Canis lupus familiaris: one gene and its partners. The main gene of each other region encodes a partner of the protein of the gene in region 5 in a complex. Links are inferred from orthologs where the notes say so. Each region holds a gene or a part of one and is shown on either strand. Other genes may lie near its edges.

The links.
Region 1: small nuclear ribonucleoprotein E-like (region 5) and SART1 share a complex: the UniProt entries of both Homo sapiens proteins name them as parts of the U4/U6-U5 tri-snRNP complex. The link is inferred for Canis lupus familiaris from reciprocal best matches to the Homo sapiens genes SNRPE and SART1.
Region 2: small nuclear ribonucleoprotein E-like (region 5) and PRPF8 share a complex: the UniProt entries of both Homo sapiens proteins name them as parts of the U4/U6-U5 tri-snRNP complex. The link is inferred for Canis lupus familiaris from reciprocal best matches to the Homo sapiens genes SNRPE and PRPF8.
Region 3: small nuclear ribonucleoprotein E-like (region 5) and GEMIN4 share a complex: the UniProt entries of both Homo sapiens proteins name them as parts of the SMN-Sm complex. The link is inferred for Canis lupus familiaris from reciprocal best matches to the Homo sapiens genes SNRPE and GEMIN4.
Region 4: small nuclear ribonucleoprotein E-like (region 5) and TXNL4A share a complex: the UniProt entries of both Homo sapiens proteins name them as parts of the U4/U6-U5 tri-snRNP complex. The link is inferred for Canis lupus familiaris from reciprocal best matches to the Homo sapiens genes SNRPE and TXNL4A.
Region 6: small nuclear ribonucleoprotein E-like (region 5) and STRAP share a complex: the UniProt entries of both Homo sapiens proteins name them as parts of the SMN-Sm complex. The link is inferred for Canis lupus familiaris from reciprocal best matches to the Homo sapiens genes SNRPE and STRAP.
Region 7: small nuclear ribonucleoprotein E-like (region 5) and CRNKL1 share a complex: the UniProt entries of both Homo sapiens proteins name them as parts of the minor spliceosome. The link is inferred for Canis lupus familiaris from reciprocal best matches to the Homo sapiens genes SNRPE and CRNKL1.

Annotation. Positions count from the first base shown.
Region 1 is NC_049239.1:51,806,163-51,809,662, reverse strand, and holds part of SART1 (U4/U6.U5 tri-snRNP-associated protein 1), read left to right. Parts: coding exon 1-17; intron 18-122; coding exon 123-265; intron 266-3,500. UniProt on the Homo sapiens protein: Plays a role in mRNA splicing as a component of the U4/U6-U5 tri-snRNP, one of the building blocks of the spliceosome. May also bind to DNA.
Region 2 is NC_049230.1:45,766,922-45,770,421, reverse strand, and holds part of PRPF8 (pre-mRNA-processing-splicing factor 8), read left to right. Parts: coding exon 1-167; intron 168-293; coding exon 294-419; intron 420-507; coding exon 508-613; intron 614-1,840; coding exon 1,841-2,031; intron 2,032-2,161; coding exon 2,162-2,281; intron 2,282-2,372; coding exon 2,373-2,562; intron 2,563-2,716; coding exon 2,717-2,836; intron 2,837-2,946; coding exon 2,947-3,081; intron 3,082-3,500. UniProt on the Homo sapiens protein: Plays a role in pre-mRNA splicing as core component of precatalytic, catalytic and postcatalytic spliceosomal complexes, both of the predominant U2-type spliceosome and the minor U12-type spliceosome.
Region 3 is NC_049230.1:45,008,207-45,012,320, reverse strand, and holds the start of GEMIN4 (gem-associated protein 4), read right to left. Parts: upstream 2,801-4,114; 5' UTR 2,701-2,800; coding exon 2,691-2,700; intron 2,431-2,690; exon of another isoform or gene 2,321-2,430; intron 2,151-2,320; exon of another isoform or gene 2,038-2,150; intron 215-2,037; coding exon 1-214. Other genes in the region: diazepam-binding inhibitor-like 5, read left to right, coding at 2,801-2,971, 3,583-3,903. UniProt on the Homo sapiens protein: The SMN complex catalyzes the assembly of small nuclear ribonucleoproteins (snRNPs), the building blocks of the spliceosome, and thereby plays an important role in the splicing of cellular pre-mRNAs.
Region 4 is NC_049222.1:688,547-692,515, reverse strand, and holds the start of TXNL4A (thioredoxin-like protein 4A), read right to left. Parts: upstream 2,801-3,969; 5' UTR 2,689-2,800; intron 2,331-2,688; exon of another isoform or gene 2,322-2,330; 5' UTR 2,288-2,321; coding exon 2,135-2,287; intron 234-2,134; exon of another isoform or gene 164-233; intron 1-163. UniProt on the Homo sapiens protein: Plays a role in pre-mRNA splicing as component of the U5 snRNP and U4/U6-U5 tri-snRNP complexes that are involved in spliceosome assembly, and as component of the precatalytic spliceosome (spliceosome B complex).
Region 5 is NC_049222.1:93,813,216-93,815,404, forward strand, and holds small nuclear ribonucleoprotein E-like, read left to right. Parts: upstream 1-1,229; 5' UTR 1,230-1,248; coding exon 1,249-1,527; 3' UTR 1,528-1,689; downstream 1,690-2,189. UniProt on the Homo sapiens protein: Plays a role in pre-mRNA splicing as a core component of the spliceosomal U1, U2, U4 and U5 small nuclear ribonucleoproteins (snRNPs), the building blocks of the spliceosome.
Region 6 is NC_049248.1:15,362,699-15,366,198, forward strand, and holds part of STRAP (serine-threonine kinase receptor-associated protein), read left to right. Parts: intron 1-36; coding exon 37-133; intron 134-801; coding exon 802-939; intron 940-2,518; coding exon 2,519-2,655; intron 2,656-3,500. UniProt on the Homo sapiens protein: The SMN complex catalyzes the assembly of small nuclear ribonucleoproteins (snRNPs), the building blocks of the spliceosome, and thereby plays an important role in the splicing of cellular pre-mRNAs.
Region 7 is NC_049245.1:3,686,294-3,689,793, reverse strand, and holds part of CRNKL1 (crooked neck-like protein 1), read right to left. Parts: intron 2,686-3,500; coding exon 2,507-2,685; intron 1,461-2,506; exon of another isoform or gene 1,398-1,460; coding exon 1,227-1,397; exon of another isoform or gene 939-1,226; intron 664-938; exon of another isoform or gene 627-663; intron 275-626; coding exon 83-274; intron 1-82. UniProt on the Homo sapiens protein: Involved in pre-mRNA splicing process. As a component of the minor spliceosome, involved in the splicing of U12-type introns in pre-mRNAs.

The DNA of each region.
Region 1 (3,500 bases), on a different chromosome or scaffold from region 5:
GGACATCAGCGATGAGGGTGAGGGGCCTGTCCAGCCGGGGCAGGGTAGGGGTGGCAAGGGCCGGGCTGAGGGGCCCTGGGCAAGGAGGTGATCTGAGCAGGGCTTCCCTTTGTTTCTTTCAGAAGAGGCTGGAGGACCACAGTCAGGGTCCCCAGAGGTGCTGGAGGAGGATGAGGCAGAGCTGGAGCTGCAGAAGCAGCTGGAGAAGGGGCGTCGCCTGCGGCAGCTCCAGCAACTCCAGCAGCTGCGAGACAGCGGTGAGAAGGTGAGGGGGCCCAGGAGCTGAGCGTGGGGTTGGGGGCATGCTGACCTCCTCAGGGCCAGGGCCTTTAGGGACAGGTGTGTCCATGGTGACCTGTCCTCAGGAGCATGGCACCTTCATTCCAGTTTGGAACTCTTTTGTGTGTGTAATGTCATGTTGTTAGCAGATTTCTTTAAGATCAACCAGTGTTTTGCTCTCAAGATATTTTAAAGTTGGAGCCTTCCCTGTCTTCTTTCCTTCTATGGCTGGGTGTTGCATTCCTCCTGGGAGTAAGGATTGTCCCCGGGGGTGGGGGTATCACTGGTGAGCAGGACAGCGAGGGGCCCTGTGTTCTTGGAGCTGCCTCTCTAGCTGTGGCCTGAGGGCAGGGTAGCAGTAAGCGTGTGTGCACATGCGCACACAGCACTTCTGGTAGCACCTGGAGCTGGGCAGACCGTCTGTGGAAAGCGGAGCAGATGGCTGGAGGGCTGGAGTCTTGGGTCTGCTTTTGAGGGGAGACCTTGCAGGGGATGGCATTTGAGCTGAGACATAAATAACAACGAGGAGCCAATCTTGCAGAGATTCAGGGTGGAGGTGGGTGGGCAGACTGGGCACTCAGGTGGTAGAGACAGCAGGTGTCCTTGGGAGGAGTAGCCTAGAACACTTGAGGGCCTGGCAGTATGAGCCGGACAGAGGCCAGTGGGGCCTTATGGCCATGACCACTGTTGACCCTCAGTGGGCACTTGCCTGGGCCAGGCCCTGCTTGCGTGCTTTGTATATCCAGTGACTTGATGTTCACTGCAACACCTTGTGAGGAAGGTTCTGTTATCTCCGTTTTATAGATGAGGAAACTGAGGCATAGAGGCCTTAGGGAAGTGACCTGGGGTTACATGGCTGGTAAGTGGCAGAGCTGGGGTTTGAACAGCCTGACTCCAAAGTCCACGCTTTTCACCCTACCCCTCCCAGCTCAGGGGGGAGAGACTGGAGCAGTGGCCCAGCCCGTGGGGGCTCCTGCTGTGGGGTCAGAGAAGCAGCAGCCCCTGAGCTGGAAGAGAGCCATGGGAGTGGGTGGCACAGCAGCCAAGTAAGGCTTTTGAGGAGGGGGAGTAGGGAGTCCTCTAATTCCTGAGAGGCAGGTCCGATCTGGAATAATAGAGTCAGCAAGACTGAGGAGGTAAGGAAGCCAGGCCAGCAATTGGGGACAGTCCCTCAGAGCGAGAGCAGGTGGACTGTGCGAATGTTGGAGGTGCAGCGGCGGGTGGTCTCGGCCTCAGTGACCCAGGTGCTCTGCTGCAGCAGGGAACATGGCCCTGGATGGTGTGGTGAGTGGGCGTGGCTGTGATCCAAAAAGGCTTGGTTGGCAAGAGCAGGTGGTGGGCTGTATGCTGTCCACCGCTGCTGCAAAGAGGGTCAGAGAAATGGGGCGGTAGCCAAAAGGGGTGTGAATGAGGATAACCAAGAGTGCAGAAGTCTGTCCTTGTGGAACTTTTGTTCTAGTGAGAGGACATGAAAGAAGACATAAACAACATCCAGTAGGAAAACCACTGTGAGCAGAAACAGGAAAAGGCCAGGTAGTGGAGAGATGAGGAGTGAAGAAGCGCTCCCGTTTTAGGTCTTCTGGTCAGGGTGGGCTTCCCCGAGGAGGTGACCATTGAGATCCAGATGAAGTGTAAGTATCAGTGACATCTAAGGGCGCAGTCCAAGGTGAGGGAACACCTGGCCCCTGAGACCCTGAGACACGAGCCACTGGGCTTGCTCAGGAAGTTGGCTGAGGCCTGCATGGCTGCAGGGGCAGGAACCCCAGGGAGTGTTACAGGGAAGGAGATGGTCACGGGCCATTCAGGCAGAGACTTGCTGTTGCGGTAGATGTAGCCATCAGAGTTCTGTCTTTGGAGGAAAAGCAGTGGAAGGCTGTTGCAGACATCCAGTTGGAATGACGTCGACTGTGATGGTAGCCGCAGAAACAGGAGGAAGTGGCTGTATTTGGAATGCATTTTGAGGGTAGAATCAACAGCGCTCATTTGTAGATTGTGTGCAAGATTGTGAGTGGGTACAAGAAGTTAAGGATGACTCCCAAGAATTCTGACTTGAACAGCTGGCCTCTTGCTGAGTTAAGGAGAGGGTAAGGCCATTCCTGAGATGGGAAGAGCTGGGGAGATAACAAAATGTTCGGTTTTGGTTAAGTCTAATAAAAAGTGCTTTTCTATTAGGGGTATTTGATACTGAACAGGCAGTTGGATATGTGAATTTGAACTTTAAGGGAAAGGCTGAGACTGGAGTTATAAATGCAGAAGTCATTTAAAGTCCTAGGATCAGCTGGAGTCATCAGGACGGTGAGTGTGGAGAAGGGAAAGTGCGTGAGGGTAGCCAAGAGGAGAGGGTCATGTGACAAGGTCCTGAGTCACGTGACAAGTGGCTCTTGAGAGGAAGCGTGTAAGCATCTGTGACGCATGCTCCAGAGAACTTGGGTATTGGGGATGAGCATTGACCTTTGGATTGGGCAACATGGAGGTCACTGATGGTCTTGTCTAAATCGTGGTCTTTTGGGGTGCGGTGGTGGGAACTGAGAGCCAGACCACACAAGTTTCAGCAAGGCTGCCAGGTATAAGATTACCAGATAAGAGCCAGTTGTGTTTACACACACCAACAAGAGAGAGAAAGTATAACTTTAAAAAAGGTACTGTTTGTGAAAGCAGTATAAATAGTAAAGTAGCATAGATAAGTGATAACAAAATGGATAAGAGAGAGGCCGATTGCAACAAAATAAAAAGGAATAAATGATGTGTGAGATAGGGATCCCTGGGTGGCGCAGCGGTTTAGCGTCTGCCTTTGGCCCAGGGCGTGATCCTGGAGACCCGGGATCGAATCCCTCGTCGGGCTCCCAGTGCATGGAGCCTGCTTCTCCCTCTGCCTGTGTCTCTGCCTCTCTCTCTCTCTCTCTCTCTCTCTCTCTCTGTGTGTGTGACTATCATAAATAAATAAAAATTAAAAAAAAAGATTTAATGATGTGTGAGATAGATCTCTATGGGGGAAGTTGCAGTCCATCTTTGAAAGACATTGAAGAAGACATAAATAGATAGACTGTGGTTTTAGGCAGCTAGGGCTGCCGTGACAGAATGTCACAGACTGGGTGGCTTAAGCAGCAGAAATTTACTTCTCAAAGTTTTGGAGTCTGGAAGTTCAAGATCAAGGTGTTGGTAGGTCTGGTTTCTCCTGAGGCTTGTAGGTGGTTGTCTTCCTGCTGTGTCCTCTTATGGCC
Region 2 (3,500 bases), on a different chromosome or scaffold from region 5:
ATGATGTCCACTCTATACCGCTTGGCCAATCAGCTCCTGACAGACTTGGTAGATGATAACTACTTCTATCTCTTTGATCTGAAAGCCTTCTTCACGTCCAAGGCACTCAATATGGCCATTCCTGGAGGCCCCAAATTTGAACCTCTTGTTCGAGACATCAACCTCCAGTAAGTTGGAGATACTAGGGATTATAGGCACCTCGGATTGAGTAAAATCTAATCTTGATCCTTGAGATGCCATTGTAGTTTCCAAACTCCCCAACTAGTCTGCTCATCCTTGATAATGTACCCTAGGGATGAAGACTGGAATGAATTCAACGATATTAACAAGATCATCATCCGGCAGCCTATCCGCACTGAATACAAGATTGCTTTTCCCTATCTGTACAACAACCTTCCACACCATGTCCACCTTACCTGGTGAGAGCTAGAGCAAAGGGGGAGAGGGGGGAGAGGATATTGGGCCAGGGCAGGAGAACCTGAGTTTATTACTCTTCCTTTATTTTAGGTACCACACTCCTAATGTTGTGTTCATCAAAACTGAGGATCCTGATCTCCCAGCTTTCTACTTTGATCCTTTGATCAACCCAATTTCTCACAGGCACTCTGTCAAGGTAAGACCTTAGTTCTTTTTTCTTTTTTTTTAAGATTTTATTTATTCATGAGAGAGAGAGAGAGAGAGAGAGAGAGAGGCAGAAACACAGGCAGAGGGAGAAGCAGGCTTCATGCAGGGAGCCTGATATGGGACTCCATCCCAGGTCTCCAGGTTCAGGCCCTGGGCTGAAGACGGCGCTAAACCACTGAGTCACCCGGGCTACCAAGATCTTAGTTCTTTGAAGAGAAATTTGCTGACTGTAGCTGAAGTGTTACTAAATAAAAATTGAACTACCTATTTAGTGTTCCCTTTGAGCTTTGATATGTCAGTAAAGTGCTTGGTTTAAACTAAGTTATTTGTATAATCTGGGTTTTTGTGATTGGGACTTTCCATATAGTAATTTCAGGGCTGTTTGCATTATGAATTTTTTCCAATCCTTTTATTAGATATATTTATTAGTTCACATACCGTACAACTCACCCATTTAAAGTTTATAATTCAGTGGTATTTAGTTTATTCACAGAGTAGTTTAGCTATATCCACAGACAATTTTCCAACCTTTTCATCATCCCAGAAATTCCCATACCATTAGCAGTCGCTGTTTCCCTCCCCTAGTCAACTCCTAGTCTTTCTGTAGATTTGCCTCTTCTGGAGGTTTCATATAAATGGGATCTTTCAGTATGTGGTCTTTTGTGATTGGCCTTTTTTTTTTTTTTATTTATTTATTTTTTTTTTTTTTGGCCTTTTTTTTTTTTTTAAGAGTTTATTTATTTATTCATGAGAGACAGAAAGGCAGAGACATGGGCAGAGATCTAGGCAGGCTCCCCACGGGAACCTGATATAGGACTCGATCCCAGCACTCTGGGATCACGCCCAGAGCCAAAAGCAGACACATCCCTCTGATTGGTTTGAAATAATGTTTTTGATGTTTACCCATGTTCTATAGTGTTCTTAACAGACCTCCCTACTCTAGCTTAGTTTTTGTGTTTACTTAACATATTGGGGCTCCTTTGGGAGGCCTTTGGTGGTGAGCCCGTTAGGGTGTGATGCTTGCTTTCTGCTTGGCCCTAGCTTGTTCTCTACTCCCTTGGCCCTTTTTGCCCTGGCCCTTTAGGGCTTCTCTTGTCTGGCAGCCCAGTTTCCATGGTAGATGGCACCACTGTGCTCAGCCCCAGATAATTTCCCTCTCATCCCAGTTCTCTGTTCAGTTCAGTGGGAGCTGAACCCTTGGGGGTTGTTCTTTCAGAGCCAGGAACCATTACCTGATGATGACGAGGAGTTTGAACTCCCAGAGTTTGTGGAGCCCTTCCTGAAGGACACACCCCTTTACACAGACAATACAGCCAATGGCATTGCCCTGCTCTGGGCCCCAAGGCCCTTCAACCTACGCTCTGGTCGTACCCGCCGGGCCCTGGACATCCCCCTTGTCAAGAACTGGTAAGACTAATACCTGGGGAGATGATAGTAGATGTATAGGAGAAAAGAATTCCAACTGGGTTGACATTCAGTCTTTACCAGAGGGATTAGAAGGAGAAATGGGCTAGCTCTGGTTGGCTAATTTTCTCAGGTATCGGGAGCATTGTCCTGCTGGGCAACCTGTGAAAGTGAGGGTCTCCTACCAGAAACTTCTTAAGTACTATGTGCTGAATGCCCTGAAGCACCGGCCCCCTAAAGCCCAAAAGAAGAGGTAAGGTGCCTGAGGGTCATTGCTCAGACTTCTTTTGTTCCAAATTTAACCAAGAAGCTAATTCTTACTTTTCCACTTATTCCCACCCCAGGTACCTGTTTCGTTCCTTCAAAGCTACCAAATTCTTTCAGTCCACAAAGCTGGACTGGGTAGAGGTGGGGCTTCAGGTTTGCCGCCAGGGCTACAACATGCTCAACCTTCTTATTCACCGAAAAAACCTCAACTATCTGCATCTGGATTATAACTTCAATCTTAAGCCTGTCAAGACCCTCACTACCAAGGTGTCTGCATTGTACTTTAAGGGTCTTCTGGGCTTGAGGGATGGACTGGTTTTGCTCTGTCCTCTGAGGAAGGCATACATCCAGTTGGGACCATTACTGATCAATGTTTGTTTGTTTGTTTGTTTGTTTTTTCTATTCTTGGCACCTTCTCCAGGAAAGAAAGAAATCTCGTTTTGGAAATGCTTTCCATCTGTGTCGAGAAGTTCTGCGTTTAACCAAGTTGGTGGTGGACAGTCATGTGCAGTATCGCTTGGGCAATGTGGATGCCTTCCAGGTGAGGCCAAGTATCCCTGATCCCTGCCCTAGGTAGGGAAGCTGAATGAAGCCTAAGCTGATCATGGAGCTGGCTCTAGCTTAAAGCCTGATGGAGTCATTGTGTTGCAGCTGGCAGATGGGTTGCAGTATATCTTTGCCCATGTGGGGCAACTGACGGGCATGTACCGGTACAAATACAAGCTGATGCGGCAGATTCGCATGTGCAAGGACCTGAAGCATCTCATCTATTACCGCTTCAATACGGTTGGACCCTGCCCTCATACTCTCACTTTCTTCATCCAGTTTGTTCATTTGTTCATTCTTTCATTCATTCATTCATTCATTCATTCATTCATTCATTCATTCATTGTGTTTGGAAGGCAGAGGGAGAGAAAAAGAATCTTAACTAGGTCCACACTGAGTGTGAGGCCTGATATGGGGCTCAATCTCATGACCCCGAGTCTCAGATCCATTTTAATTTTTATGTCTAGTCAGCGTTCCTTCCGGGGACCAATTTAGAGAAAGGTTCTGAGCGTTTCATTACTTGCCCTCACCTTATTAATTGTAACACTTTCCATTGAAGCCTGCCTTTAAATAGAGAATCCCAGTTACTGGTTTCTGTGTTAGAATTTCTCATTTATTCCATTTTTGATGTTGAGGTCCCAGAGTTTTGCCTCTTTGCC
Region 3 (4,114 bases), on a different chromosome or scaffold from region 5:
GCCCAGATGATGATCAGAGCTTTCTTCTTCCAGGCAAAGGGCTGGGAGCATGTTGTGGCGGAGGAGATCTCCCTTAGGGCCTCCACAATGGGCTGCCCAACATGTTCCCAGTCAGACTTTGTCAGTTCTGTCAGTGCTTTGGGGTGGAAGAGCTGCTCGGCAAGCAAAAAGCCCCCATGCAGAATAGTCATTTCTTCACAGATATTCAAAGGTCCTGCACAGAAAGAAGCCGCACAAGACAGTGTGGTGAAAAATCTTTAAAATAGTTAGTAGAGGCTAGACAGAGACATCAGTTGGTAGGCTGGCTGTCATCACCAGGGTTAGAGATGATAAGGGTTCTAATGGGGAAGAAGAGATGGCTCTAGCCACTGTAGAGCTGGAATCAAAAGGACTTACCTAAGGAATATAAAGGACTCTCAAAGTCTAGCCTGGATTTAGAAGACAATGGCTATCACTGGAGGAAGAGAATCAGAACAGCTTTGGGGGGAACACTGTTCAGTTTTGGTTATTTGGAGTTTGAGGTAGAACATTAAGAGAGAGATGTCCTCCAGCAATGGAAATGTGGGGTTGATGCTCAAGAGGAGAGTCAACCCTGAGATGTGACTCAGGGAGGGGTCTGCCTAGAGGGGATCAATGGAACGAACAAAGTGAATGAGATTCTGCAGGAAAACCATGTGTAAAGGAAAGGGCTAGGCGCTCCAGTAACGGATGGGCCAGCAGAGGAGGTGGAGAGGAGGGGTGACAGAGGGTGCGTACTGTGCAACATGGCAGTCAAGCTTCTGAATCATGATTCAGCCTAAGAAGGGAGGGGCCAGGGCTGAGGCCGCAGAAGCAATCAAACAAGCCCTGCCTTCCCCCTTTTGTCTTACAGTCTTCTTACAAATTTCAAATGTTCTGCCTTTCAGGGAAACAGTTTACCCCACAGCTCTTTCTGTCAAATAGAACAAGCTACCAAATGCTCTGGTTCTCTCATAGAAACCAAGAGGTAGACATAAAATATACTTAGTAGATTAGGAAAGAAAAGTCTCTTCTCCAGTAAGCCCTGAATCAACACTTATCAAGGAAGGCATCTGGGGAGGTTTAATTAGACACAGCTTTAAATCCTAGTTCAGCCATCTAGAAGCTAGAGCTTCTCTGAGCTTCCCTTCTGCATCTGTGGGGAGAACACAGACTTCATACTAGACTGGGAGGATCAAGTGCGATATACTAGTCACACCCTGAGTACTGAGCTAGTTGTTCAGTGTTAGCCCCCAATTCCTCGTTCCCTCATGCCCCCAAGTACATATCTTTCCCAGGAGCCAGCAAGAGAGAATCTTGATTTAGGAGACTAAAAATGATCCTGCCCTTCAACTTTAAGAGAGCAGCAAAAGGCCAAAGGATCAGCACTCCTATGCAACCAACTGGTGAAGGCAATCCACCTTGGCTCCTAGTGGCCTAGGCAGACTCCCAGGAAGATTAGATTGCTGACAGGTCTCACTGGGGATTCTGGCTTTTTTTTTTTTTTTCTTTCTTTTTTTTAGTTCAGGCTGCTCTCCTAGGCCCCCAAAATATGTTCTCTTATGACTCTGTAAATTTAATTTTGTTGCACAATCAGCTCAGCTGAGATGTTTGTCCCCCAAAACCTATTATTCCAGAGACAGTATGTTCATTGTGCTACCAGAAGGAGTAAGTCCCAGGAGCTATTGGTGAATAGCTGGGCAAATCCCAAGTGTTTTTATCACAACTGGATAACAGGCTTGTAGGTGCCCACTCCAAAACTTTATTAAGCGCTTACTCCGTGCCAGGCACTGTGCAAGAGCTCTTTTAATCCTCAACCTTTTGAGAACCATTCTGTTTCAGAGATGGGACCACTGAGATTCAGAAAAATTTGCTCAGGATGTCCCAACTATAGTGTAGTTGGGGCCTGGGACGGAAATCACCACAGCTCCAGGGCTCCAAGCTCTTGAGCTCTACTGTTGCACCACTGAAGCCGTGGCTGGGGGCAGGACTACAACATTTCTCCACAGCCTGTTACTGGCACACCTTGGGGTGCCTCACCTCAGCTCTCTGAGAACAGCCTCCTGCATGACCGGCAGGGTGGGAGGCTGGACAGGAGTCACCATATACTAGCTCCCCGCTCCCTTCTCCCAGGCTCTGCCTGTGAGGATTCTGAATCAAACGTGCCCCCTCGGCTCCTCGGCCCTCCCCACAACTGCCGGTCGGCTGAACTAGCTGCGCGCATGGCACCCTACCCGACCCTGTATACACGTGCTCTCAATCAAACGCCCCCAACTGTGTGTGGTGGGTATGCTATCGTCACCCCCGTTTTATCGATGAGGACCTCATGGCAGAGGACGCTTGCCCAAGAGCTCAGCAGCGGTTAACTAAGCGAAACCGTCGGTGTATCCTTCTGAGCCTGCATTTTCCAAAGCACGTGCACGAGCACTGTCCACTCTGAGGAAATCTAACCTCACATCCGCTTGGCCCTTCACGTGGAAAGGCGCCCCGCGGGGGGCAAGCCGCGGGTGGAGGGGCGGCGGCGCCGCGGCAGCGCCGGGCCTCCCGATCCCGGCCGCGGAGGACACCCCCGCCCTCCCGAGCCCTCCCCGACCCGGAGGTCTCCCTTAGCCCGGGCCCGCTCTGCACCGCCCTGGCCGCCTGGTGCGGGACGCAGACCACGAGGGCGGAGGACCGAGAGCGGCGACACCCACCTAGGTCCATGGCGGCGACGCTGCGGGTCGCGCGGGCCGCCCCTCCCCCCGAGGCTCCGAGTGAGACGCAGGCGCCACGACACAATGGGCGGCTCCGGGAGGGCGGGACAATGGGCCGCGCCTCAGCCCCCGCCCACCATCTCGGCTCAGGCTCCGCGCCGCCGTCCGCAGGCCTCCCGCCGCGCCGCGCGCACGCGCAGAGCCCACCAACAGGTCCGCGGCGCCCAAGCAGCCCGGCCCACAGCGCCCCCTACCAGCCGAGGCCTCCGCCAAGCCAGCCGGCAAGTGGACCCGCGCTTCCCTTCGGCCGGGCGCGCCCCGCCCCGCCCCCAAGCCGCGGTCCCCACCTTCCCCTTGGCCCGCGCCGCTGCCCTGCTTCTGCCCCGCCCAGCGCAGCCCTGGGGGATCATCCCCACGGGATCACCCCACTAGCTCCGCCTCGGCTCCGCGTTCGCTTCCATCCAGTAACCCTCGGGATCCCGCGCTTAAGGTTCACCGCACTGAACGCCCGCCCCAGGCCGCCCACTAACTAGCACAGACTGGCGGTTCTGAAAGGCCTCCTCCCGGCACAGCGCAGCGCCCCCCCAGCACACTTCCTTCTCACGGGAGGACAGCATCCTTAATTTTCTGGCATTAAAGGCACCTTTGAAATGTTACTGGTTGCCCTCCCCAGAAAATGCACTTTGCTATCCAGAGCAATAGTGGCGGAGATCCATTCCAGTGGGCCTTAGTTTCCAATCTGTACTTTATAAAAACACATTTGACTCCTGAGAAAACACATACACAAACATCCTATGTTCTTCTCACACATTACCCTGTCTTCTTTGCTCCCATTCCCTTCCTCCCAGACCTAATCACTAGCCTCCAGTGTTTCTAATTCTCCATCCTCCAGCTTCCAGTGCCAGCCATCACCCAGAAAGGACACAAGGGCTGGGCCTCAGCACCCCCAATGTGCCAAGTGGAGTTTGAGATGGCCTGTGCTGCTATCAAGCAGTTGAAGGGACCTGTGAGTGATCAGGAGAAGCTACTGGTGTACAGCTTCTACAAACAGGCCACCCAAGGCGACTGCAACATCCCTGCCCCACCTGCTACAGATGTGAAAGCCAAGGCCAAGTGGGAGGCATGGAACCAGAATAAAGGGATGTCCAAGATGGATGCCATGAGGATCTATGTTGCCAAGGTGGAAGAACTGAAGAAAAAAGATACTGGTTAAGGAGGACAGAATATCAAACACAATGAAGTAGCATGGCTCCTCTGGTAGCGAAAAGGGTTTCTTAAAAGACCAACGGCTGAAACGTCCTGAAACCATAACCACCATAGCCGAGACACATCAATAAATCACTTAAACTGCAAGAGAGTGTTAATGGAAAGCTGATTAAACTCCAAGTGACAGAGTTCTGGGGAGGTGTTCAAAATATATAAAA
Region 4 (3,969 bases), about 93 Mb from region 5:
TCATTAAGCTTACCTCCCATGTTTTCAGGGCAGCTCAAAACTAATACAGCATGAGGTGGTGGCCTCATGATGGTTGGCACCATCAAAGCATCAAGTCAACACACCACATTCCCGGAGAAACAATCTAATCAAGTCCAGCCTAAACGGTGGAACTTTTACTCACTTTAAAACAGCTGGGGTATCCAAACAGGGCTCGAGACAGGATGAGGAAGATCCCCCACTATCTGCCATTTCTGCAGAGGGAGATTTTTAGATAGTTAAGTTGTTCTTTATACTAAAACTTTAAATTTCAAAAATTCCTGTTGAGCTCAAGAAGGACTTCCAGAATTATAAACTCATGTTTTGCCTTTACACAGAAGAAAATAAAACAATTATCTTGTGATGAGTTTCAAGTTTGCATTTCTAATAACTGTACTATATAATATTAAAAGTTTATTAAAACAGAAATCCAAATTTTTGGACCAAAGAAAAAGTACCTTAAAGATAAAACAAAGACAAATACTCAAAGTGAGCCCAACTAAACTGTTCTTATCAGTAGGTTCGATCCCAGAGTGCGTTCCTCAGTGATCCCGCAGTCCAGCCTACAGCTGACACACAGGGATGGGAAAAGAACAAACAACTTGCTGAAAGTCCCTAAGAGCTCAGGTTAACACAAAATCTGTCTCCCAAAGAAGAGCGTCTTGCTGGGTTTTGCCTGGGTATGAAGAGCCAAAGGAGCCTCCCGTCTCTAACCATCCTGACCCTGCACCGAGGGCAGCAGGAGCTGGTCACCACCTGGTGTTTATGCCCCCACATGCCCCGCACAATTCAGAACACACACCCTACGTTATTTCAAGGTCAACAGAGCAGCAATGGTGTTTCTCAGGAAAGTGCTTGGAGGTGGTTCTTCACTGACCACAGCAGTGTCTGCTTTTGACGCGACAAACTGGCGCCGCAGCTCTCCCGAGCTCCCCAGGCACCTCCTCAGGCTCCCCAAGAAGAGAAAGGGAACGGCCAGTCTCCCAGCACCCTTACTCTGATCCCGAACTCTGCCAAGTGGTTTTTGGAAGCCACTTCAGAATTCCCAGGGCAGCTTTTGGGCAGAGCTGTGTGTGGACCTCACCCCAGACCTGCAGAACGAGAACCTCGGAGGTGCACCTGAGCAAGTCTTCCAAGCGATCCTCACGTGACTGACCGGAAAGACGGCCTCCACAGTTCCACGGTTCCCAGTGCTACCACCCGGCCTCGCTTGGCTTCTCCCGCCACACAGGAGATCAGAAAAAGTAGCAGTGGAAGGTCAGATAGTTGTTAGTGAACTAACCTCAATGTGGGGTCCTGCTCTGACCCCCGAGACTTCGCCTTTCCCAGACACATCTGTCCCTACACCTGTTACCATGTACTGAGCTATCTTAAGCCCTTCTTCCTCTGAAAGAAATCATGGCTTTAATGTTTCCATTACTCTTGACCTCTCCTTATTTACGGAATATCAGTAAGTAATCTATGAATTGGCTACAACTACACATCCAAATGAAAGTTCTCCTGAAATGAGCCCACAGAGCCCACAGGAGAGCACCAGGTGCTGCTGGTTCTGGAACTGCCAACAGAGCCTCCGACAAGCCAGGGTGCCAGCATGGTGACCCAGACTGGGTCCAACCAGGCAAGTCTCCCAGAGCACGTCTGAGCTAGGAGTGCACTTAGGGCACAAAGACCGGGATGGAGAACAGGCTTTCCTTCCCCTGACAGGCACGACTGCCTCCCACACACAGGGAGCAAAGCACCAAAAACTGGCAATCCTGTGCAGCTACCTGGCTAAAATGGCGTTCCACGAAGTCCCTAGGTGTGCTGCTCCCAGCTCCGTGGAGGTGGCACCATGAACCCCTTCAAAACCTGGAGACCAGGGACACACTGCTCCCACGGAAGGACCGTAGCCTCGGGGCACAGGGTCAGGCCCCCTGAGCCCGCCGCACCCTACCCTCTGAGGCCTGGAGCCTCCACGCGGGGGTCAGGCCCTTGGACCCTGCTGCGCCTCTGCAGCCTGGAGGAAGAGGAGGACCTGCACGCGGTCACCTCACTCCAACCCTGCAGCCACCTAGCAAACGGGGCAAACCAAAGACCACAGCTTCCTAGGCTGACGCTGGGCGGGGGGCTGTGTTACCTTCTCCGCGATGCTGTACAGCACCTCGTCCATCTTCATACACGTGGGGTCCCAGTCGTGTCCAAAGCGGATGACGACCACGCGGTCCTCCTCCGACAGGATGGCCTGATCCACCTGCCAGCCGTTGTGCAGGTGTGGGAGCATGTACGACATCTCGGGGCGGCTCCGGGTACACCTGCGGGCACACCTGCGGGAACTGTGCGCACCGGCTCCTTGCGGCCGACTGCGGGCAAGGGCTGCACGTCGCACCCGCCCGCGCCCCTGGGTCCCACAGCAGACCTCACCCCCCCGACCCCTGGAAGAGGGACGGCACTGAGGGGACGCCCTGCAGACCCAGTCCCCGGTGCGGAGGCCCCGGGGTCGCCCCCATCCGTGCCCCTCGGTCCCGCCGCGGGGAGGGCCTGGGACCCCCGCAGACCTTGCCCCCGGCCCCCGGCCCCGGCCCCGGCCCCTGTCAAGCTCTACCCCTGGAAGGAGAACGGGGCCGCGAGGACGCCCCGCAGACGCCAGCCCCTGCCTCCCTCGCCCCCGCTCCCCGCTCCGTCCGCCCGCACCTCAGCCGACCGCAGCCTCCCGCGCGGCAGCCCTTCCCGGCGGGGACGCGAGCCGGTCGGTGCGTGCGCGTGGCCGCCGACGCGAGCGTGAGCGTGCGCGTGGCCGCCGACGCGAGCGTGAGCGTGAGCGTGCGCGTGGCCGCCCGACGTAAGCGTGAGCGTGCGCGTGCGCGTGCGCGTGGCCGCCCGACGTAAGCGTGAGCGTGCGCGTGCGCGTGCGCGTGCGCGTGGCCGCCGACGAGGGGCCGCGCGCGCCCGGCGCCGGGAGGGAGGGACACCGAGCCGGGGCTCCCGTGTGCGCCCGGGCGGTGCGGCCGGTGGCCCCCGGACCCCGCGGGGTCGGTCTCCTGAGGTGTCGCCGCGGTCACGGGGGGCCCGGCTTTGCCGCCTGATTCTCAGCCCCAGTCAGGCCCCTCGGAGCGACCCAGCTTCTCCGCGGCGCCCCCGTGCCCTGGGGGTGTGACGAGGGCAGCCGGCCGAGCGGAGCTGCGAGGTGCGGTTCGGGTCCCGGCGGGGAGCAGCGCTGGGAGCCGGGGGACGGGGCCGGCACACGGGACAGGCCGAGGACCGTGACGTGACGGGCTGGGGAAGGCCCGTCCTGCTCACCGCACAGCCGTCCCCGGGGCGGTCAGGGCAGACTAGGCCCCGCTGTGCGGTCGCCGCGTCAGCAGAAGACCAGCTAAGGTGTGGGTCACCGTGTGAAACACGCACGGCCCTTGTCGCCCGTCGCCCCGTCCGCCTCCGGGCGCGTCCTTTTTGTCAAGAAGCTGACGGAGGATCCCCCACGTCCTGTGGGGTCCTCGCGCTGCAGCCCCGGGGGGTCGTAGAAGCGCCACTGCGGTCTCCGTTGGGGCAGCTCCCGTCCTGCTGGGGGGAGGCCCGAGCGCGGTCGGCTGGTCGTCCCCACTCCCCGCGGTCCCTGAGCCCCGGCGACCGCGGACTCCCGCCCGCCTCCCTGCCCCCGCCTGCCCCGGGCAGTTCGTGCGAGCGGAGACCGACCGGGACATCGCCCGGGACTGCCTTCTCCAGGCCGCGCTGTCCGCGGGCGTCAGGATTCGGTCCTCGGTGCTGGTTACCACTTCATCATACGCATGTGTGCATTTTTTTATTTTTATTTTTTATACATTTATTTTTTGTTGGTGTTCAATTTGTCGACATCTAGAATAACACCCCGTGCCCGTCCCGTCAGGTGCCCCCTCAGGGCCCGTCACCCAGTGTGTGCATTTCATTTATCCATCGTCTGACATTTGGCTGTTTCCACTTTCTGGCCGTCGTGCATAT
Region 5 (2,189 bases):
CTACTTGTAGTTATCCCTAGTCATCATCTCAATGTTATTGGGACTCAGATCACCATCTTATAGTTCAATATCCCAATCTTCTTCTTTTTTTAAAAAAGATTCCAATAAATAAATAAATAAATTAATTAATTAATTAAAAAAAAGATTCCATTCATTTATTCATGAGAGACACAGGAAGAGAGAGGCAGAGACACAGGCTGAGGGAGAAGCAGGCTCCATGCAGGGAGCCTGATGAGGGACTCGATCCCAGGTCTCCAGGATCACACCCTGGGCCGAAGGCAGGTGCTAAACTGCTGAGCCACCCAGGGATCCCCAATATCCCTATTTTCTTAGATGTTCCCTTGAGGAAGGGGATCTGCATGTCTTAGAGGTGCTGGACTAGTGCCCTGTGAGTTTCTTGGAACTCTGAAAGTCTATAATCTCTACCAACTCCTCAGTTACTGCCTTTCATGATATGTTTAACTAATCAGGAAAGGGACAAGGAGCATAGACTGCAGGAGCCAGACAGACTAGTGTATTAATTTTCTGTAGCTGGGTAACAAATAACCATACACTTAGTGGCTTGAACACATACTCATTATCTCACGGTTTCTGTGGGCAGGCATTTAGGGATGGCCAAGCTTGGTGCTATGCTACAGGGCCACACAAGATTGTAATGAAGGTGTCAGCCAGGACAGAGTTCTCATCTGCAGGAGCCAATTCTACATAGGGACTATAATAACTTGGATGTGTAGATTTATGTATTTCATCAAATTTGGAAAGATCTGCTCACTATGTTTTCAAATATTCTTTCTGCCCCTTTCTCTTTCTTCTCTTATTCTGCAGCTCCAATCAGGTGTATGTAGGTACACAGGAAGGCATCCCATACATTTTTGTTTGTTTCTTAAGTTTCTCAAAGAGTGATCCTTAAGCCAGAAGCATTGACACCACCTCAGAAGTTGTTAGAAATATAAATTCTGGGGCACCTGGGTGGCTCAGTCAGTTGAGCATCTGATTCTTGGTTTTGGTTCAGGTCATGTTCTTGCAATCATGAAATTAAGTAAGCCCTGTGTTGGGGCTCCATGCTCAGTGGGGAGTCTGCTTTAGATTCTTTCTCCCTCTCCCTCCCACTCATGTGTTCTCTCTCTCTCAAATAAATAAATAAACAAATAAACAAATAAATAAATAAATCCTAAAAAAAAAAAAGAAATGTAAATTCTTAGGCCTTGTTGCAGATGTATTAAAGAAACTCTGGGGTCCGCTTCCACCATGGCGTACCGTGGCCAGGGCCAGAAAGTGCAGAAGGTGATGGTTCAGCCCATCAACCTCATCTTCAGATACTTGCAAAATAGATCTCGGATTCAGGTGTGGCTTTATGAGCAAATAAACATGCGGATAGAGGGCTGTATCATTGGTTTTGATGAGTACATGAGCCTTGTATTAGACGATGCCAAAGAGATTCATTCTAAAACAAAGTCAAGAAAACAACTGGGTCGGATCATGCTAAAAGGAGATAATATTACCCTGCTCCAAAGTGTCTCCAACTAGAATGAATGATCAGTGAAGTGAGAAATTCTTGAGAAGGCCACGTAGTTTGTTTTTTTAGATGTCCTTTGTTGGGAATATAGTTCTAAAACCCTTGTTCATATTGTTTTGATTACCTTTATGTTCTTACCAGAGGACAATAAATGCTGTGGGATTGTTTTTATTAAAAAAAAAAAAAAAAGAAAAAAAAAGAAACTCTGGGGATGAGGCCCAACAATCTGTGTGTGTGTGTGTGTGTGTGTGTGTGTACGTGCATGCGTGCATGTGTGTGTGTTTTAATTGAAGTTGATACACAATGTTATAGTAGTTTTAGGTGTACAACATAGTATTTGACAAGTCTACATATTATGCTATACTTACCGAAAGTGTAACTACCATCTGCCACCACACAACCCAATTACAATATCATTGATTGTATTCCCTACCCTGTACTTTTCATTCCCTTGACTTATTCATTCCATAACAAGAAGTCTGTACTTCTTACTCCCTTTTACCCATTTTGCCCATCCCCCTAAACCCCCTTTGACAACCACCAGTTTGTTCTCTGTATCTATGAGTCTGTTTCTGTTTTGTTTGTTCCTTCATTTTGTTTTTTTAGTTCCACACATAAGTGAAATCATATAGTATTTGTCTTTTTCTGTCTGAGTTGTTTCGTTCAGCATAAT
Region 6 (3,500 bases), on a different chromosome or scaffold from region 5:
TATTAACAAATATATTCTACATTGTTTCATTTTAAGAACCTAAGGAAATCAGTGGTCACACCTCTGGTATTAAGAAAGCTCTATGGTGCAGTGAGGATAAACAGATTCTTTCAGCTGATGATAAAACTGTCCGGTAAGTAATTTTTCTTTAGTAATTTAAAGTTTGAAACATTTGACCTTAGTGCTTATATTTTAAATATTTCTCATAACTGTATGTAGGAAGAATTATCTCTATACATTGAAAGTTAAGTTGTACATAGGTCACATTTTCTTGGAGCTATCCATTTACTGTTATAAACATAGAGCATAATCTACAAGACACTGAATTAAAATTATTGACATCTTTATAAGCATGTGCTCTTGACCTGAAGTAGTGGACACACTGGCTACAGGAGGTCCATGAAACTCCTGAAATTCTATGAAATTTTGTGTGCTGACACCTGATGTTTTTTTCTGTGGAGAAAAAACCCCAATCAGATTTATAAATACAGAATTTAAGAACTGTTATTTAGAGTGACACTAAAATTGCTAAGATTAAAACCTTACATGACTTTTAGCATAGTTTTGCCAAGAGAGGTATTTTTAAGTATAAGTTAACTTTACCAACAAGATACCAAGTAATTTAACATTGTATAGGAACCCCAAATTTCTCCATATCATCTATAATTTATGAGTTGGAATGGAGGAGGTTTTACTACAATTGTGATTATGCTTTCATTGGTTAATCTGTAAATATAATTGGGAATTAAGCTTTTTTCTTAAATAAGCTAATTATCACCTTATTTTCCTCTTCTTTTGCAGCCTTTGGGATCATGCTACCATGACAGAAGTGAAATCTCTAAATTTTAATATGTCTGTTAGCAGTATGGAATATATTCCTGAGGGAGAGATCTTGGTAATAACTTATGGACGATCTATTGCTTTTCATAGTGCAGTAAGGTATGTCCAAGAAATACCTTCCCTTTTTTTTTGGTAACTTAAAAATTGGAAGGCAGAAGTGAAAAATATATAACTCTTTAATAAGGCAAATCTTGACCATATTATATGGGGAAAATGTTTCCATACCACTAATAATGTGTATTTTAAGAATTTGATACACTAGGGAATTAATCTAATTATTTCCAGTGTTTAGGGGAGATTTATTGGTAAAATTTAGTAACTTTTAAATTTTCTTTTTTTGATTATATTTTTCTTAAAAGGATCTCTAGACTGGAATTATACTTAACGTTCATTACTGTATAAAGCTACTGTGATCTTGATTCTCTTATTCATTTTCCCTTTAACATTTTAGAGAAATAGTGATTTTTTTTCTTCTATTCCAAAGTTTGTATAGACCTAATAATGTTTTTTAAAAACAGACGTAGGGGATCCCTGGGTGGCTCAGAGGTTTAGTGCCTGCCTTTGGCCCAGGGCATGATCCTGGAGTCCTGGGATTGAGTCCCATGTTGGGCTCCCTGCATGGAGCCTACTTCTCCCTCTGCCTGTGTCTCTGCCTCTCTCTCTCTCTCTCTCTCTCTCTCTCTGTCTCTCATGAATAAATAAATAAAATCTTTAAAAAAAAAAAAGATGTAATTTTTTTGTGACTGTAAATATAGTAAATGCCCTTGTTGAAAATTTGGGAAATATAATTTTTAAAAATTTACCCACTGTTCTTCAACCATAGATGCCAGAATGTTAATGGTAGTTGTATCTTCCATTAGTTTTTTTTCTTGGTTACACATTTTTTCTTCATTATACATGTGTAACATTATATATGCATGTATTTGTGTGGGTATTTTTTTTAATTACGAGGGCCCTATAAGTGTAATTTTGATTTTTTATTTTAAACTGTTGTTAGCTATTCAAAATTGTTTGAAAATACTTAGGTTTTACTAAATTATGTATCAATTTCTCTGAAAAAGCTGATGTGAAAACTCACTGATATTCATGTGAAACTATTGGTATGCATTGATTTTTATTATATAGCTATAGTTTCAAATTTGGTTTTTCTTTCAAGCTTGATAGCAAAGATGGAACCATCTTTAGCAGTTTTATATTTTTGTGATATTGAAGGTTTTGTTTCAGAAGCTTATAAATTCTCAGCAGTTGAGAATAATGTACAAATAGTGTTTTATGTTAATTACTATAAAACATTTTCTCAAAGATAATGTGTAGTTGTCATGGAAAAATCAAACAATACAGAATTAAATTTCTTTCAGGGCAAAAATCCAGATATATTAACCATACTGTTGTGAATTAGCCACCACAGTCATTTCTAGGGAAGCGTTCATTGTACAAAGTGTACTTGTATTCCTGGAATGAATTCCACTTGGGCAGAGTATCCTTCTGGACTTTTGCTAATATTATTTAGAGGTTTTTTTGTTGTTGTTGTTGTTTTTTTAACATCACTATGTTTGACTAAATGAAAATATAATTATTTCTTGGGTTTCAGGAATTAGGAACAGTTTAAAAGTACTCTTTCCTGGTATTGTTTATGCAATATTGAAAATTCATCAATATTATTTAAATCATTTTTCAGTTTGGACCCAATTAAATCTTTTGAAGCTCCTGCAACCATCAATTCTGCATCTCTTCATCCTGAGAAAGAATTTCTTGTTGCAGGTGGTGAAGACTTTAAACTTTATAAGTATGATTATAATAGTGGAGAAGAATTAGGTGGGTTGTTCTCTTTTTCCTCCCTTAAAATGATGTGGTTACATTTATCAATGCTGGATTTCAGTAATACCTCAGTTAACAAATTTTTCAGCTAACTAAAACTTTCTATTTTCAAGTGAAAAAGGATTTTTTTCCCACTCTGGATAGAAGTATTTATAGAGCTATAAACAAAGCATGCTAAACTCTCAATTTTACCTTTTCCTTTTAACTTAAGTTCATTGTATTCAGATATTCTATACAGTAGTGCAGTGTATTTATTTGAGGGAAGGAGGAGGCAGGCAGTCTTACGTCAAAATCATGTTAAACAGATGTAAGAGTATTTGTTCTTTCTGAAGTATAATGCTAATATGTAGCTCATCTACCTGGCTTCCCTTTTAGCCAATGTAAAAATCTCTAAGCTCTATAGAGAATAGTGTAGACAAAAAACAGTTATGGTGTATTATAGGGATACCTTAGGGATCTGAATTGGAGGGGATTTTTGTTTGGTAGGGGTTTTTTTTTTGTTTGGAGTCTGACTTTTGCTTCCGTTTTCATAGTAGTCCTTCATAAAGGAAGGGGAAGGGCAGGTAAGATTAATTTGAAGTTAATCTACATCCTAACTTTACATTTATCTGATTGACTAGCTATTTTATAATCATGGTTCTCAGTATCTACTTTTAGCCTTCACAGAATTTCTTTTTGAACTAGTGTATTTAGTCTTTTTCTGTAAGCTGCTACTTGTTTCTAGCTGCCTTGCTTTACTACCCAATGAAATTAAGCTTGTTAGAATTATACACAAAGAACAAAAGACAACTATATGTTTTGTTTCTTTAGGAAAACTGATAGATTTGGGTTGGATAAATGGA
Region 7 (3,500 bases), on a different chromosome or scaffold from region 5:
CCCACCGCTACCCAAAACAGCAGACTTATACCCGCAGAGGTGACGCAGCCATCAATAGCTGATGCGGAAGTCCACTTTTTACCTTGGCCTCCAATTCTTCATAGAGTGCATAGTTGACCCACAGATAGATGTAACGCTTCCAGTGCCGCTTCTCTTGAATGGGTGGCACATTGGCGATGGCTCTTTCATAGACTTCTCGAACGGTTTCTGCTTCTGCATCACTTTCCACCAAGCGCAAGTAATCAAACCATGCATCATAATTGTGTGGATTAGCCTAAAAGACCGTTTAAGTTTAATGAATAAAAATCAAACCAAGAGCTACACTCACTGGATTCTGTGAGGAAAAAGAACACCCTTGATTGACTGTATGTTAGCAACTGTTTTTCTAGATTTCACATACTAGCTCATTTAAAAATACTGTTCCTGAGATCCTATAAATAGAAAAGAAAAAGGAACATAGAGGACAGATTATTTGCCAGGTGTCCCACGGCAAGGCCGCTTTCATATACAACCACCACCCTCAAGATAGTTACTCAATAATCAGATGCCTAGTTTTATGAATGTATTTGTTTATATATGTGACTGCTTATCATTATGATGTCTAGATTTAAAATTACAGTGCAATCAGAACCATGGCCACAAATGTGAAATCTGCCTTCTCCAGTAAGTCATTTATCTTGAATATATCTTACTGACCTCATTTAACACAGGACCCAGTCCTTTGTTTGGCAATATCCTAATTAATTTGACTTAGCAAAAGCTTTAAGATACACAGCAGATTAGTGAAACACTATTGCCTTTGAATCTGAAACAAAATAGTACATCACAGATAGAGAAGAGAACCATATCTACAGTACATCTTTTGTTCAAGCAGTTAAGCTAAAAGGTAGTGCACAAAGGCTATTTGGCTCAATCTCTGACTCGTCCATCTTTTTCAGAAATGAGTTCAAATGGATTCCCAGTATTTGCTCAAGTTCTACGGTACACAATCAGCAAGCAGCAAAGTGACTTTCAACATGTTGGTGGCAGAGCAAACCCAAGCGCTGCTTGCTGGCCTTTTCTATGAGCCCTGCTGATTCCTGTTGCAGTGGCTGCCAATTACTGCAGACGTATCAGCAAGAGCATGATCCCTGGGAGTCCTTGCTTGCTATTCTTCCCTTCACTGTAGCTGCTATTGGTCAGCATGTTTGTTACCTACAGGGGTCAGCGTCCGCATCAGCACTCACCTTCACTTCTTCCTCATACTGGAATCTTCGTTTGCTCACAATGATGTCTTCAATACCCCGCCTATCACCGAACTTCTTCTCAAAGATGGTATAGTTTTTAAAGAGTTCTTGGGCCTCCTGCTTTGAAATTCTATCCAGGGCATACTTGTAGATCACTCGTACCCTTTCAAACTAAAAGCAGATAGGAGGATTACTTCTCAACACAATATTCTCACCCTAGCAACAACTTGGAAGGTAATTATGACATAATATATTACCTGTAAGATTGTGTGGTTTCAAAATGTCCTAAAAAAGACTTTTTTCTCCCTCCTGTTGAGGTATTTGTTGGGGCACACCAATATTCTTCTTTGAGCTCCACGCCTAATACTGTCTACCTAACACTGCCAGTTGGGTATCGTCTGTGCATCTAGGACTAAAAAGGTCCCAAACTGACCTCCTTTTTCTCACCATCAAACCTGGGTCTCTCTGTCTTCCCAGTCTTTGTAAGCAATACCTACAGTCATGCACTTGCTCGAGCCCCAAACCCCAAGAGTCCTCCTTGACTCTTTTCCTGTCCTCATTCCCCACATGCACTACCTCAAAGAGCCCTGCCACCTCTACCTTTTCAACATGGCTCTTTGTACCCCCCCCACCCCCAAACCATCTCCATTTCTTCCGCAACCACTTCAAAAGTCCCTTTACTTCCATTTTCACCATCGTTTTCCCCAATACAGTCTACATGGATTAGCTAGAGGCCTTCCTTAGAATATAAATCACATCCTACCACTCTTATGCTTCAAACCCTTCATAATTCCCACTGGCCTGACCCTGTATTTGGACCTTAGCCCATCTCTCTCGATCCTGTAGTATCTGAGTTACTTTAAGGGATTATTTCCATATATATTATGGAAGATCAGAACCGATTTATTTGTGGGGAAACCTCTGTTTTCATTCAAATTCTGTTCTCTGTTCTAAAGGTTTCTGTTCTCCAGGTTTATTACCTGTAAAGCCCTTTTATGAGGAGAGCAAATGATGAACTTTCAGTTTACATACAATATTCTCATCATAGATATGAAAGCTGAATTTTCAAAAAGGACAATACAATTAGGACACTTTAGTACAATGTGTAAATTGCTCAGTTTCCAATCTGCAGCTAAGCCACATGTGTGCTGTTCTCTGAGAGATTCTGGAAACATTTTTTCCAAGGATAAGTGAATAAGAAAATGGAATGAACTCCATGTGCACAAGTATTCTTTCCTAAACTGTTCTGCAATATAACTGAGCTCTTCAAGTGTACTTACTTCTTTCTGATTTTCTTCAAATTTGGCAAAGGCAACATAAAGGTGTTCATCCATATGTTCATCTCCAAAGAATTCAACAGCTCTCTCATACACTTTCCGTGCATGGGCAAAATAACCATGTTTTTCTTCAAAGCGAGCATACTTGATCCAGTTCTTAACATCAGGGTGCACGAGAACAAGTTCAGGGGAATTAAGGAAATACCATGTAAGACAACAAGGCTTTAAAAAAACAAAAAAACAAAAACAAACCCAAACCCAAACCCAAACCCCCAACAATACAAACTATAGGGTTTGATAAAACATTTGCAAAGGTGAAGAACCGGTAATCTGTAACCTCTGGCAGGGGGTTGTGTCTGGTTCATCTGTCTTCCTCCAGTGCTTATTCAGTATTTCTGTAGTGGGTACAAATGGGAGTTTTGAGAAATGAAAAAGCTGAGGTCTGTTATAAACCATGCCATCCTAGACAATTCATTTAACTTGCCTAAGACTCGGTTCTCTGTAAATAGAGAAAAATAATACTAACCCAACTCAGTGGTATTATTTATTTATTTTTAAAGATTTCTTATTTATTTATTCATGAGAGAAAGAGAGGGGGGGGGGGCAGAGACACAGGCAGAGGGAGAAGCAGGCTCCATGCAGGGAGCCCGACATGGGACTCGATCCTGGTTCTCCAGGATCACACCCTGGGCTGAAGGCAGCACTAAACCACTGAGCCACCCAGGATGCCCCAACTCAGTGGCTTTAAAGGAGGAAATGTGTGTAAAATCCCTTGCAGCTTGGGGCCAAAAGAATGTGTCCACTCAACAAATGGCACCTACTCTATTACATGCTCAATAACATTAATATTTCAATTAATGACTAAGAAAAAAATCTCACAAAAACAAAACTGCTAAGTATTGGCAAAGAGAAGAATTTTTTAGGTTTTTCTCTTTTCTTATTGAAATATGGTTGACATACAAAAGAAAGTTTTGAATTATTTTATATCTTAATAGAT